Macaca mulatta: one gene and its partners. The protein of the gene in region 3 binds, or shares a complex with, the protein of the main gene of each other region. Links are inferred from orthologs where the notes say so. Each region holds a gene or a part of one and is shown on either strand. Other genes may lie near its edges.

Evidence for each region.
Region 1: the proteins of SORT1 (region 3) and GRN are in contact, whole or in part, in a crystal structure (PDB 8T8S), measured with the Homo sapiens proteins. The link is inferred for Macaca mulatta from reciprocal best matches to the Homo sapiens genes SORT1 and GRN. Residues at the interface, in NP_002950.3 of Homo sapiens: Leu108, Gly110, Ser111, Val112, Ser113, Leu114, Ile174, Gly175, Pro176, Lys260, Tyr304, Ser305, Phe306, Gly307, Leu308, Phe314, Ala315, Ser316, Arg325, Ile327, Phe350, Tyr351, Ser352, Ile353, Leu354, Tyr395, Thr398, Gly399, Thr402, Phe404; in NP_002078.1 of Homo sapiens: Pro578, Arg579, Trp580, Asp581, Ala582, Pro583, Arg585, Arg590, Gln591, Leu592, Leu593.
Region 2: the proteins of SORT1 (region 3) and NTS are in contact, whole or in part, in a crystal structure (PDB 4PO7), measured with the Homo sapiens proteins. The link is inferred for Macaca mulatta from reciprocal best matches to the Homo sapiens genes SORT1 and NTS. Residues at the interface, in NP_002950.3 of Homo sapiens: Val112, Ser113, Leu114, Ser115, Trp116, Lys260, Tyr304, Ser305, Phe306, Gly307, Leu308, Phe314, Ser316, Arg325, Ile327, Phe350, Tyr351, Ser352, Ile353, Tyr395, Gly399, Thr570, Gly571, Leu572, Ala573, Trp586, Trp597; in NP_006174.1 of Homo sapiens: Leu152, Tyr153, Glu154, Asn155, Pro160, Tyr161, Ile162, Leu163.

What each region holds. Positions count from the first base shown.
Region 1 is NC_133421.1:68,728,415-68,733,180, reverse strand, and holds the end of GRN (progranulin), read right to left. Parts: intron 4,496-4,766; coding exon 4,383-4,495; intron 4,282-4,382; coding exon 4,146-4,281; intron 4,033-4,145; coding exon 3,923-4,032; intron 3,690-3,922; coding exon 3,563-3,689; intron 3,364-3,562; coding exon 3,266-3,363; intron 3,179-3,265; coding exon 2,933-3,178; intron 2,709-2,932; coding exon 2,475-2,708; intron 2,383-2,474; coding exon 2,152-2,382; intron 2,063-2,151; coding exon 1,925-2,062; 3' UTR 1,615-1,924; downstream 1-1,614. Other genes in the region: protein FAM171A2, read left to right, coding at 1-991. UniProt on the Homo sapiens protein: Secreted protein that acts as a key regulator of lysosomal function and as a growth factor involved in inflammation, wound healing and cell proliferation. Regulates protein trafficking to lysosomes, and also the activity of lysosomal enzymes.
Region 2 is NC_133416.1:93,073,640-93,077,871, forward strand, and holds part of NTS (neurotensin/neuromedin N), read left to right. Parts: intron 1-143; coding exon 144-205; intron 206-1,875; coding exon 1,876-2,100; intron 2,101-4,205; coding exon 4,206-4,232. UniProt on the Homo sapiens protein: Neurotensin may play an endocrine or paracrine role in the regulation of fat metabolism. It causes contraction of smooth muscle.
Region 3 is NC_133406.1:130,881,329-130,886,710, forward strand, and holds part of SORT1 (sortilin), read left to right. Parts: intron 1-1,605; coding exon 1,606-1,796; intron 1,797-3,563; coding exon 3,564-3,753; intron 3,754-5,382.

The DNA of each region.
Region 1 (4,766 bases), on a different chromosome or scaffold from region 3:
CTTCCTGCTGTCGCAGTCGGTGGACCAGCTGGCGCGGCCGCCGTCGCTGGGCCAGGCGGGGCAGCTCATCTTCTGCGGCTCCATCGACCACCTCAAGGACAACGTCTACCGCAACGTCATGCCCACCCTGGTGATCCCCGCGCACTACGTGCGCCTCGGCGGCGAGGCTGGCGCCGCGGGCGTGGGCGACGAGCCGGCCCCGCCCGAGGGCACGGCACCCGGCCCAGCGCGCGCTTTTCCGCAGCCCGATCCCCAGCGCCCGCAGATGCAGGGCCACTCAGGCCCGGGGGGCGAGGGCGGCGGGGGCGGCGGCGAGGGCTGGGGGGCCGGGCGCGCGGCGCCCGTCAGTGGCTCGGTCACCATCCCTGTGCTGTTCAACGAGTCCACCATGGCGCAGCTCAACGGGGAGCTGCAGGCCCTGACCGAGAAGAAGCTACTGGAACTGGGCGTGAAGCCGCACCCGCGCGCCTGGTTCGTGTCCCTCGACGGGCGCTCCAACTCGCAAGTGCGCCACTCTTACATCGACCTGCAGGCGGGCGGCGGGGCCCGCAGCACCGACGCCAGCCTGGACTCGGGCGTCGATGTGCACGAGGCGCGGCCCGCGCGCCGCCGGCCCGCGAGGGAGGAGCGGGAGCGCGCCCCGCCTGCCGCGCCGCCGCCGCCGCCCGCGCCCCCGCGCCTGGCGCTCAGCGAGGACACGGAGCCCAGCAGCAGCGAGAGCCGCACGGGTCTCTGCTCTCCAGAGGACAACTCGCTGACGCCGCTGCTGGACGAGGTGGCGGCGCCCGAGGGCCGGGCGGCCACGGTACCCCGGGGGCGGGGCCGCAGCCGCGGGGACAGCTCCCGCAGCAGCGCCAGCGAGCTGCGGCGCGACTCGCTCACCAGCCCGGAGGACGAGCTGGGGACGGAGGTGGGCGACGAGGCCGGCGACAAGAAGAGCCCGTGGCAGCGGCGGGAGGAGCGGCCGCTGATGGTGTTCAACGTCAAGTAGCGCCGGCGCCGGGCCTGGCACCGCCCCTCCCGCGCGAGCCCGCACCCAGGGTGCGCGCCCCCGGGGCCTGCGGGGGCCCTCGCGCGTAGCCCCCAGGCCCAGGCTGGAGAGGGGCCCAGGGGCCTTGGAGCCGTTCCGTGGTAGGTGCTGGGTTGTGTCTTGCAAGGGACCCTGTGTCTGCCTCCAAGCCGGGGAGGAAGGGGGGTCCAGCCCCCAAGGGGAGGTGCCGGGGAGGAGGGCTGGGGGGAAGCAGTGCCTGTGTAGACGTGGCTGTACATAGAAAGCTCTATTGTGGGAAAGCAGGAGGGGTGACCCAGCCTCAGCTGCTAGTGTGAGGGCTGGGAAGGGAGGGGGCGTTCTCTCTGGACCCCTGGGAGGGGAGGGGGTGCTGCTTGCTGACTAGCCCATCTCTGGGCTACGATGTCACAGGGCTGGTGGCTGGGACAGCTCTGGGGACTAGGGGGTAATGTGATACAGCCGATGTGGGCAGCAGCAAATACAAAACTGGTGAGGTTAAGGCTGTGTGTGTCTTTCTGTGGGGTAGGGGAAGGGAGTGTTGGCAGTGGACATGAACCCTTGCTCTGGGGCCCTGGGGAGGGCAGGCAGGGCGGCAAATCAGACACTTTTAAGAAAGTGTACAAACTTTATTGGAACTCACACACGCACACACACAAACACCCCTGTGGATAGGGAAAAGCACCTGGCCACAGGGTCCACAGAAATGGGGAGGGGATGGCAGCTTGTAATGTGGCTTTTGCCACAACCCCTTTCTGACAGGGAAGGCCTTAGATTGAGGCCCCACCTCCCATGGTAATAGGGAGCTCAGAATGGGGGCCAGGGAGAATTTGGTTGGGGAGAGGTGCTAGGGAGGCCTGAGCAGAGGGCACCCACCGAGTGGGGTACCGAGGGCTGCAGAGTCTTCAGTAGTGTCCCTCACAGCAGCTGTCTCAAGGCTGGGTCCCTCAAAGGGGCGTCCCAGCGCAGGGCCTCCCTGCGCAAACACTTGGCGCCCCTGGCTGCGCAGCGGAAGCCAGCAGGACAGCAGTGGCGCCGATCAGCACAACAGATGCCCTGGGTGGTCAGAGGGGGGTGAGAGGGTTGGATGAGGTGGGACCTGGTCCCTGGCCATACCCAGCCCCAGGGTGGGGGATGGCACTCACCTGGCGGTAGGGACAGCAGGCCCAGCCCCCTCGGTTGTCTCGGCAGCAGGTCTGGTTATCATGGCAGAAGTGCCCTCCCCCACACTCCACGTCCTGCACACCCACGTGAGGGCTACGGGCCAGGAAGGTGGCAGGCTGGGCAGAGACCACTTCCTTCTCGCAGGATCGGGCCTTCACGTTGCAGGTGTAGCCAGCCGGGCAGCAGTGCTGGCGATCCTCGCAGCACACAGCCTGGCGGGGAAGGGAGCACAGAATGGCGTTACATTCCTGTCCCCTCGCCGGGCTTAGCTCCCCTATCCAGGGGCAGGCAGGGAGGTACTCACGTGGGGCAACTGGCAGCAGGCCCAGCCCCCACCCAGGCTTGGGCAGCAGGTCTGCCCCACTGGGCAGCTGGTGTGCTGGTCACAGCCCATGTCTCTGGGGTGGGATAAGGAAGCCTGGCGGGCAGGCATCTTCTCCAGTCCAGCCACGATCTCGCTTCCCCGCTGACACCGCCCCTCGGCTACACACGTGTAGCCCTGGGGGCAGCAGTGCTGGTGGTCCGAGCAGCAGACAGCCTGGGGGGTGGGCAGGAAAGGGCGTTCTAGGTAGTCACTATGTGGGGTGGGGCACAGTGCCGAGCCCCTACCTACTCCAGCCCGCCTCTCCTGCTTACAGCACCTCCAGCTGGGAACGAATCTGACAGAGCTGGGTGTCACCTACTGGCCATGCGGAGGGCGGAAAGCAATAGGAGTTTGGCCACCCACCTGCCCAGGCCACGATGCTGTCCCCTCCCATGTACCTCTGGGACTGGACAGCAGCCCCACTCTCCAGACATGAGTTGGCAGCAGGTATTGGAGGGGGGACAGCTGGTGACATTATCACAGGGGACATCTCTCTTCAAGGCTTGCGGGTCTGGCAGGCTGAGGTGAGCTAGGGTCTTCTCCATCCAGGACACCTGGTAAGTTCCCTGTTCACAGGTACCCTTCTGCGTGTCACACGTAAACCCCGCGGGACAGCAGTGTATATGGTCCTCACAGCACACAGCCTAGGGCAGATGGAGAAGGGCCAGTGGGCACTGGGGCCCAGTTGGCTGCCACACTGCTCAGCGCACCCACCCACCACCCCTGGGTACCTGGGTAAAAGGGCAGCAGCCCCAGGCCCCCGACTGTAGACGGCAGCAGGTATAGCCATCTGGGCAGCTCACCTCCATGTCACATTTCACGTCTCCCACTGTGAGGGAGGCAGAGAGGACAGATCAGAAGTGGCACTGGGGACCCTCAGCGGTATCCACCCTTTGCCGGCTCCACAGCTGGCACCAGGTGTTGAAGATGGAGGGCACCACCTACACCACCTTGCAGTGATCCTAAGGCCAGGCCTAAAAGGGAGGAAAGAGGGCCCCACCCCTGTATCTGTGCCCTGCCTCTGGTACCTGTTTGTGCAGGCAGCTTAGTGAGGAGGTCCATGGTAGTGTTCTCCTTGGAGAGGCACTTACTCTGGATCAGGTCACACACAGTGTCTTGGGGGCAGCAGTGCAGGTGGTCGGAGCAGCACATGGCCTGGGTGGGGACGGGTGAGTCTTTGTCACTTCCAGGCTCAGCAGAGCACAGGGAGCAGCCAGGCTGATGGCTGGCACTGCCCCAATCCTCCACTAGGGGGTGGCATGAACCCTGCATCAGCCAGGCTCCCAGCAAGCAGCCAGCCAGCCCCATGCCCCAGAGCCCCGTAAGGTGCATGTCAGGGCCAAGTGGCTGGGGGCACACAGCCAAGCTGGCTCCAGCCCCTCACTCACATTGGGCATTGGGCAGCAGCCATACTTCCCACTGGGCAGCTCACAGCAGGTAGAACCATCAGGGCACTGGGACCGTGCATCCGGACACATGACTGAGCTGGACAAAGCCACTGGAAGAGAAGCAAGTGTGAGGGGCAGCCAGGGTGGAGGGAACTTTTTGCCACACTTGGAGTCAATGAGGCCCCACCCCAGCCCCTGGCCTGATGCTCTCCCACCTCCTCACCTGCCCTGTTACTCCTTTGGGCAGGGATCTTCTTTGCCAGTGGGTGGGTGCCCGTGGGTGTGATGCAGCGGGTGTGAACCAGGTCGCAGAAGGCACCATGCGGACAGCAGTGCACCCTGTCTTCACAGCAGGAAGCCTGAGAAAAAATGGTCCTGACTCCGTCTTCACCCCTTGCCCCTGGCCCCCACCCTCTGCCCCCACCTCCCTCCACGTACCCCCGTCTCCCCAGATTTGTACCTGGGGCATGGGGCAGCACCCCCAGGAGCCATCGACCATAATGCAGCACGTGGAGAGGTCCGGGCATTCAAACTGACTATCAGGGCACTGGACGGCACCCACGGAGTTGTTACCTGTGGACAAGGTGACCCGGGATTCTACCAGCCCACTCAGGGAAGGTGACTGCCCCATCGCGCACAGAGCTGGTGGCACCAGGGCCTGCAAGCCCAGCTACTGGGGTTTGGGGGTGACACTAGGGCTCAGTGATCTCCTAGGCATGCCTAACTCACCCTCCTCACAATCCAGTCCCTCCCTCAGCAAGATGGCATGGGGAAGGGGCACCCACTGATGATGGGTTGGCATTAGATCGGCTCAGCTTTACCTTTCCCCACCCCCACAATGCCT
Region 2 (4,232 bases), on a different chromosome or scaffold from region 3:
TTTTAAGATTACTATTTTTAAGAAAATACATAAGAAAGACATTAACCTCTAAGACTACTTTTTAAAATTAACCTAAAATCTGTAGATTATGATATAATTATATGATATGTGATTATAGTAAACCTGATTTTGATTTTACTCAGATTCAGAGGAGGAAATGAAAGCATTAGAAGCAGATTTATTGACCAGCATGCATACATCAAAGGTAACTTTTTCTTTTCTTTAACTCTGGGTTGAAGAACATATGAACTTTCATTATCAATATGGTATCCTTTTCCTATAGTAATAACTTCCCATCCAGATTTAAAAGTTCCTTAAGAGGCATTTCCTTTTTGAAAAAAAAAACTCTTTTAGTTAAAAGAAGTTAAAGGTGTTGATATGACAGGTAAAGAAATTATAGTTCTATCAATCAGTATTTTGCAATTTTAATTAATTGCCACACATATTTACGTGCCTGTAAATGTTTTTAAAGGAACTTGTTTCCATGCCTTTTACATTGGGTATGAAGAAAGGTATATTGGTCTCAGTTTAAATGAAAACAAAGTGAGCTCTTTGCCTTTGTTTATTATATTGGGGGAAATAAAAAGGTGTTTTTTTATTTCCTTAAATTAGAAATAACAGTTCATTACAACCTGCAGAAGAAATGTAGTAGAGAGGTGAGAGCAATGGACTGGCAAGCAGGAGCACTGAGATCTAATCCTGAAACAGTGACTTATTAAATATTTTATCTTTAGCAAGTGGATTAGTTTACCTTGCTTACCTGTGTTTCCTTGTTTTTAAATGCAGCTCATAGTCTTCTAGACATTTACCATTCTATAATGTATTTAGGAGTTACTAAACTGTACTCTTCATTGTATGTCTGGATTTAATTCTCCCTATACCAGACACGTTATTTTCACATGTTCTAATTCTTTTTTCTTTAATTGAGCCAAATACAACTTTGTATTCTGGGCCCTATTACTCCTCTGCTGGGGTCTTGAAAGCAAGTTTCTAAAATTCCAATCCGTACCTAGGAATACGTTCTGCGGTACATGTGCAGGATGTGCAGGTTTGTTACATAGGTAAAGGTGTGCTGTGGTGGTTTGCTGCACCTATCAACCCATCACCTAGGTATTAAGCCTAGCATGCATTAGCTATTTTTCCTAATGCTCTTGCTTCCTCCACCCCACCCTCTGACAGGCCCCAGTGTGGGTTGTTCCCCTCCCTGTGCCCATGTGTTCTCATTGTTTAGTACTCAATCAGAATACTAATGGCTACAACATCTTCAGTTCAAAAATAGACAACGGAAGTTAATAGTCTGTGTTAGAAAATGGGATAAGTTACGTGCCTTGGTGTCTTGGTATAGATTTACCTAATTCCCAGGTGCAAGTTAATACATAAAGGTCCTAAATAATCTGTGATGCTACCCATAACAATTATTAATGTGTGGAATGCATTACTATCTTCATGCTTTGTAATTGTCCACATTTAATAATACCATCTTTGTCACTGCCCCATTAAACATTAAGCTGAAATGTAATAGATATGGAATAATTTTTTATTTTTAATTTTTCATCTGTGATATATATATCATATTTATATATTTCTGATGTCATTTTAATTTCCTTGCTTTTTTACTTTGCTCTGTGTGTATACACATAAGTGCATGTGTATGTGAATATGACTATTGCGTTTTGTTAAATAGAATTTATGAGATATTGGCACTATACAACTTTGTGAACATGATGTTACTAAATAAATAACACTGTGTTTATTAGACTGGAGTAGCAATTAGACCCTAAATGTGATGGTTTAGCACACTGGGAATTCATTTCTTGCTCATGTAACACAAGTTTTAATTACAGGGTTTTTTTTTTTTTTAATTTTATGTTTCAGATTAGTAAAGCACATGTTCCCTCTTGGAAGATGACTCTGCTAAATGTTTGCAGTCTTGTAAATAATTTGAACAGCCCAGCTGAGGAAACAGGAGAAGTTCATGAAGAGCAGCTTATTACAAGAAGGAAACTTCCCACTGCTTTAGATGGCTTTAGCTTGGAAGCAATGTTGACAATATACCAGCTCCACAAAATCTGTCACAGCAGGGCTTTTCAACACTGGGAGGTATAGCAATAACAAAATATTAATATGATTATAGTTACACTAGTTAACTGTCATTTGTATTGATTTATTAAATTCCCAATCATAATCATAACAAGAAGAGTTACAAGTATTGAAGAAGAACAAGCCACGTGTTGAAGTCAACATTGCTTCAAATCTTCAAAGTGTCCTTCAAATATTTGAAACTGAGCAAAATATGTTTTTCTTCAACCTTAAAAATAGGATATATCTTCAGGCAGATTTGATCTACATGTTTTTATTATGCTTAAGTGGATGGCATGTTTAGGCAATTTTTGTTGTTGTAGGTGGTGGCATGTCTAACAAATTTAAGCAACTCAAAATGTTGTCTTAGAAACACAAAGTCATGTGTAGTGATCTATAAACAAACTGGATTTATAAATCTATAAACAAAGTAATCCAAGTAAAACTGGAATAAAACATAAAGTTTTCCATTTGTATTTGAATATATTAGGCAAATAAAAAATATATTTTTATGTATATACAAATATAAGATAAGGATGTATTACATTGTTGCAAAAGTAATTGTGGTTCTTGCCATTACTTTTGCCATTACTGTTGATGGCAAAAACCACAATTACTTTTGCACCAAGCTAATATATCTCTATTATTCCAGTTTTATCTGGAACCTGTTGTGTTTGAATATATTAGGCAAATAAAAGTATTTTTAATTTATATAAAGGTATATATAATAGGGATATATATCTGCCCATCATTTCAGTTTATTTGGAAACCTTTGTGTTCTGTGTTTGTTTATAAATACACACCAGTGTGTAATAATGTACTTGCAAAATGCTTTACAATTTATTGCCTTCATTGATATATTTTGCTCTGAAATATAAATTACAGCTTTGAGAAGATATAGAACAATGTTAGGATAAAGAAGAGGAGGGGGAAGAAAAATAAATTCTTCAACAAAAACAAACCAGATGTTTAAAAATTTCTGACAAGGGAAACATTTCTTTCAAATTAACCTCTAAGAGAAATTTGGTCAATATTTTATATTCTGGATTTACACTAGCATTGGAGATCTGAGAGTGCCTTCCCTGCTAATCTAATAAACTTGTGATTGACTACCAAAGAGCTACCCTGTAGATAAGAAGAAGTGCAGGCAGAATTTCTAGTGTTTATTATAACTGGTAAGCAAAAAGATAAATAAACAAAAAACTGAAAAGATCAGTTTTAAATTTACTATTAATTATTTAATTTAAATTTCTGGTAAATTGTTTAGTATTTAAAATATGTTTTGGCTGGGCATGGTGGCTCACGCCTGGAATCCCAGTAGTTTGTGAGGCTGAGGCGGACTGATCACTAGGTCAGGAGATCGAGACCATCCTGGCTAACACGGTGAAATCTCGTCTCCACTAAAACTACAAAAAATTAGCCGGGCGTGGTGGCCGGCGCCTGTCGTCCCAGCTACTCAGGAGGCTGAGGCAGGAGAATGGCGTGAACTCGGGAGGCGGAGCTTGCAGTGAACCTAGATCGCACCACTACACTCCTGCCTATATTTTTATATAGGAAAATGTCCATTATATGTTACTTACCCCCCCCAAAAAAAATCCTCAATAAACTACTATGTAGACCAATTCTACTATGTAGAATGGTTTTCATGTCAAATCAGTAACTGACTTAATTGAATATAAAATTTTGTTACCTTTGTTGCCAAACTTGGTTTACCAGATCAAAAACTATATTGAAATATATATTTCATACTTTTGGCATTTCCATCATAAATTGAAGCCTGAAAAGTACTCAAAGGTCTATTTGGTGTTTTTCTACAAAAGGTGGGATTAGTGTACAGTCTTGAAATACATAACTAGTAAAGTATATAGAAATTTTTTAAAAGAGCTAGCCTGGTGAACTAGGAAGAATCCTGAACTGAGTCAGAATTACCATGTTCTTATACTATTGCAGCCACTGAATAGCCATCTCTCCTTTGAAAAAACAATTTCTTTGAACTTCATGTATCTCGTATCTCACCTACATATGTCTTGCTGTCTTAACAGCAAATGAGATAGAATGTAGAAAAATGCTCTGAAACAAAAGAGTTTATTCATGTAAGTTTCACTTACTTCATCTCTATCTTGCAGTTAATCCAGGAAGATATTCTTGATACT
Region 3 (5,382 bases):
CAGACTATAATTCAAATTTTTGCATTTGACAGAACTATAGATAAGATTCTAGAAAGGATTGCTTTTAAAATGGCGTTGTTTTTTCGTCTCACTGCCTCTAGCTAACATATTTGTCACTTCTTAAAAACATTCTTTCTGGGTTGGGCGCAGTGGCTCATGCCTTTAATCCCAGCACTTTGGGAGGCCAAAGCAGGAGGATCACTTGAGCCCAGGAGTTCAAGACCAGCCTGGGCAACATAGGGAGACCCTGTCTCTAATATTATTTCAATTTAAAAAAAAAAATATATATATATATATATTCTTTCTGTCTACAAAATTATTATGGAAGCGTTCAAGCACTCTAGATTGAAAATGACTTCTTAAGTATAAGTTCTGAGCCGGGTATGGTGGCACACACCTGTAATCCCAGCACTTTGAGAGGCCAAGGTGGGTGGATCGCTTGAGCCAGGAGTTCAAGACTAGCCTGGGCAATGTGACAAACCGCTGTCTCCATAAAAAAAAGAAAAATTAGCTGGATGTGGTGGTGCATGCCTTTGGTTCCAGCTACTTGGGAGGCCGAGGTGGGAGGATCACCTGAGGAGGTCGAGGCCACAGTGAGCCGAGATCATACCACTGCACTCCAGCCTGGGTGACAGAGTGAGATCCTGTCTCAAAGAAAAAAAGAAGTATAAGTTCTTATAAAATAATTTGATTGTTATTTATTTATTTATTCATTGAGATGGAGTTTCGCTGTTGTCACCCAAGCTGGAGTGCAGTGGTGCAATCTTGGCTCACTGCAACCTCCCGCCGCCCAGGTTCAAGTGATTCTTGTGTCTCAGTCACCTGAGCAGCTGAGATTACAGGCATGCACCACCACACCCAGCTAAATTTTGTGAGTTTTTTTTTTTTTTTTTTGGTAGAGATGGGGTTTTGTCATGTTGGTCAGGCTATTCTTGAACTCCTGACCTCAGGTGATTCACCTGCCTCAGCCTCCCAAAATGCTGGGATTACAGGCGTGCACCACCACAGCCAGCCTTAAATTTATTAATTTAAAAGCCACTTCTTACCTGGGTCACTCTCCTGTCTTTCCTTTGAAATAATTTCTGCAAAGATATTTACTTTCATACTCTCTCTGAACAAATCTCTTTTGCTTATCCTGTTAACCACAGACATTAAAAGTAAAAATAGTTGGCCGGGTGCGGTGGCTCACACCGATTATCTTGGGAGGCCAAGGCGGGAAGATTACCTGAGATCAAGAGTTCGAGACCAGCCTGCGCAACATGTGAAACTCCATTTCTACTAAAAATACAAAAATTAGCTGGGTGTGGTAGCACGTGCCTGTAATCCCAGCTACTCGGGAGGCTAAGGCATGAGAATCTCTTGAACCCACGAGGCAGAGGTTGCAGTGAGCCGAGATCGTGCCACTGCACTCCAGCCTGGTGACAGAGTGACACTCCATCTCAGAAAAAAAAAAAAAAAAAGATTAAAATAGTTGTCAGCCAATAAGCCATCACCTAAATGTGTAAGGGGTTTTGTCTGGTTTGGGGTCAAAAAGCCAGAGTGGTTTTCTGAATTCCCAGTATACGTGGATCCTCTGTCATGATCTTTCTCTAATCGTGGTTTCAGGTTCTCCACAGACGAAGGTCAGTGCTGGCAAACCTACACGTTCACCAGGGACCCCATCTATTTCACTGGCCTAGCTTCAGAACCTGGAGCGAGGTCCATGAATATCAGTATTTGGGGCTTCACAGAATCTTTCCTGACCAGCCAGTGGGTCTCCTACACCATTGATTTTAAAGATATCCTTGAAAGGAACTGTGAGTGTCTCCTTTGACCTTTTCTACCAGCAACCTAAGCCTATTTTCCTAAATAATCAATATGGTTTGATTTCTGTTAGCTGGAATCAGCAGATGCATATTCACATGAAAGAGGATTGACAGATGTTCTGTGCGGGTGATTAAGTAATGGAATGGCATCAGAAAAACAGCCTCCTCCTTGGTGCTAGCACTGTCCAGGAGAAATATGAGGGTCACATATGTCATTTAAATTATTCTGTCAGTTACATTATAAAAGTAAAAAGAAAGGTGATATTAATAAAATAAACTTAATATATACAAAATATTATTTCAACATTAAGCAGTATTAAAGGACCAGAAAATAGCTTCAGAAAAAGATTCATAATGTTCATTACACAGTGTTCCCGAAGTGTCACAAGCAAACCCTGATCTCAGTGCCAAACAAAGGTGCTGGCATTATATAAGAAATAAGGGGAATGGCCAGGCGCAGTGGCTCATGCCTGTAATCCTAGCACTTTGGGAGGCCAAGATGGGCAGATCACGAGGTCAGGAGTTCGAGACCAGCCTGGCCAACAGGGCGAAACCCCGTCTCTACTAAAAATACAAAAATTAGCCAGGTGAGGTGGCGGGTGCCTGTAATCCCAGCTAGTCGGGAGGCTGGGGCAGGAGAATCATTTGAACCCGGGATGAAGAGGTTGTAGTGAGCCAAGATCGTGCCATTGCACTCCAGCCTGGGTGACAAGAGCAAGACTCCATCTCAAAAAAAAAAAAAAAAAGAAGGGGGATAAAGGAAAACACTGGAAAAAGGATGACCTGTAGTTAAGTGTTGGCATGATGCAATAAAAGACTTAACATTTCCAGACACTTTAGTTGAATTTGGTTCTTTGAGACTCGTGAGCTCATTTCCTCAGTGTGTTGATTTAGTGACTCCTGAGGGAGCAGACCCTTGGTTTGGACCTTACTTTTCCATAAGACGTTCAAATAGATTTAATGCCTGAGGGTCGCTGTCATTTAAATCCATTCAGTAGTCTGTACAGAAGCTGGCTTGGGAGTTCTCCCCTCAGCAGGCAGTTTTCCAGTTACCCCTAAAGTTTAATGTCATTAAAAGATTTGTTAGGCACCTGCTCTTTAGCAGGATCTATGCTGGTCTTCATTTCCCGAAGGATAAAACCTAATCCACTGTCTTTAGGTCACAGCCTTTGAGTCGTTTTTCCAGTAGATGATACGACATACTAAGCCAGAAACTAGGTTCATCAGCAATCTGCATTTGAGAGCCGGTCAATTGGAGCTAGAAGTCTAGGAAGAGGATGTTTTCCCTTCTGCCTTAAGCCAGTGAACACATGGTGAAATTGAACCTGTGTTCTTGGCTAATTAGTCTTGTCCTAAACAAAGAGCTCCCTGGCCCTGAGTGGAAAATATCTGGTTGCTTACATCTGACAGCTCCTTGACTGAGGGCGTAGGTGTGCAAGACACACAGACAACAGCCTCTTAGTTTGGAAGGAACTAGAGAGATTTTCTATCCAGCTCCCACTTCAAAACAAGTAGGGTTTTTCCTAATCCTCAGATGGATGTTGAGATGGAAAGAATATTCTTTTGGCATGAGGAAATGCAATTGCTAGTAGGCTCTAGACTAGTGTAGCTTTCTGTTTGCAATTCCAAAATGAAGGAATAGGTTGAGTCAGACATTCCCACTTTCCCTCTCCTTGTTCTACCTATAGCCTGGCAGCTGCCTCCCGTGGGTGGGTTCTGTGCTGTGCACTTTTCCTGAACAGTCTGTCTCTCATTCAGGTGAAGAGAAGGACTATACCATATGGCTGGCACACTCCACAGACCCTGAAGATTATGAAGATGGCTGCATTTTGGGCTATAAAGAACAGTTTCTGCGGCTACGCAAGTCATCCGTGTGTCAGAATGGTCGAGACTATGTTGTGACCAAGCAGCCCTCCATCTGCCTCTGTTCCCTGGAGGACTTTCTCTGGTATCGGCATTCCTCAGATTTCTCTATCTCCCCTTCCCTGTTGGAGGAGGTGAAAGACAGTTTTCTTATAGGCTAACAAATATTGAAATCCAACCGGGCACCGTGGCTCACACCTGTAATCCCAGCACTTTGGGAGGTCGAGGCAGGTGGATCACTTCAGGCCAGGAGTTCGAGGTCAGCTTGGCCAACATGGTGAAACTCTGTCTCTACAAAAAAAAAAAATTAGCTGGGTGTGGTGGCACATGCCTGTAATCCCAGCTGCTCAGGTGGCTGAGACACAAGAATCACTTGAACTTGGGAGGCAGAGGTTGCAGTGAGCCAAGATCGCGCCATTGCACTCCAGCCGGGGCGACAGAGCGAGACTCTTGTCCCAAAAGAAATTGAAACCCTTTTCTCCAAGAGTGGAGAACTGCTGCTTCTTATCAAGGAAACTGAGGCACAGAGAAAGGAAACCAAAATTGTTAATAATTAGATAATATAATCATATTAGACAGTTAATGGGCAGAACCAGCAACGAACCCCAGAAATCCTGAGTTGACAGTGGTGGGAAGGAGAGAAGTGATATAAGAAAGAAGAGAAGCCAGGCGTGGTGGCTCACGCCTGTAATCCCAGCACTGTGGGAGGCCGCGGCAGGCAGATCATGAGGTCAAGAGATCGAGACCATCCTGGCTAACATGGTGAAACCCCATCTCTACTAAAAAATACAAAAAACTAGCTGGGCGTGGTCGGGGGCTCCTGTAGTCCCAGCTGCTTGGGAGGCTGAGGCAGGAGAATGGCATGAACCCGGGAGGCAGAGCTTGCAGTGAGCCGAGATCACGCCACTGCACTCCAGCCTAGGGGACAGAGTGAGACTCTGTCTCAAAAAAAAAAAAAAGAAGAGAATAAAACAAAAATCTGTAGGAAATAAAGACAAAAACACCAAAAGAAGTGGTAGAGGAGCAAAGAGGAAATTGGACTTTAGAAAATAGCCTGAGGCCCGGCACGGTGGCTCATGCCTGTAATCCCAACACTTTGGGAGGCCAAGGAGGGTGGATTGCTTAAACTCAGGAGTTTGAGACCAGCTTGGGCAATATGACAAGACCCCATCTCAAACGAAAACAAAGAAAGAGAAAGAAAACTCCCTGACAGCATGAGCTCGGCAGGCGGACACTAGGTTTTGGATCCTCTGCAAGAATCAAGGCAGAGAGATGGTGGTTGGTCCTGAGACTAGAGGTGACATCAGTATAGTCATGGTCCCATTAAGGTTTAGAGGCCATCAAAGTGGACTCCCTAGAGTTCAGGACCATCCAGACTTAAGGATTAGTTACTTGGCTGGCATCGGGTTAGTTGATTATATAAGGGCATGAGTCCCTGGATAGCTTAAATGAGGTAATTTTGGGGCAAATAAGAGGAACTGCTTCACATCACAGATGATGATCTTATGAAACTTGTTACCTGTAAAAGATACTGACACAAGATAAAAGTAGATCCTAAAGGATTTGGACAAAGAAGGGAAGCAGATAGCAGCCCTGGCCCTGCATGTCATGTTCTCTCAAATCGCAGGTGACTGTAGAATATAGTTCTGACCAAAATGCAGGTCTGACCCAGTGTGGTTCCTCCTGCATGGCTCACACCTGTGTGTGGCATGAT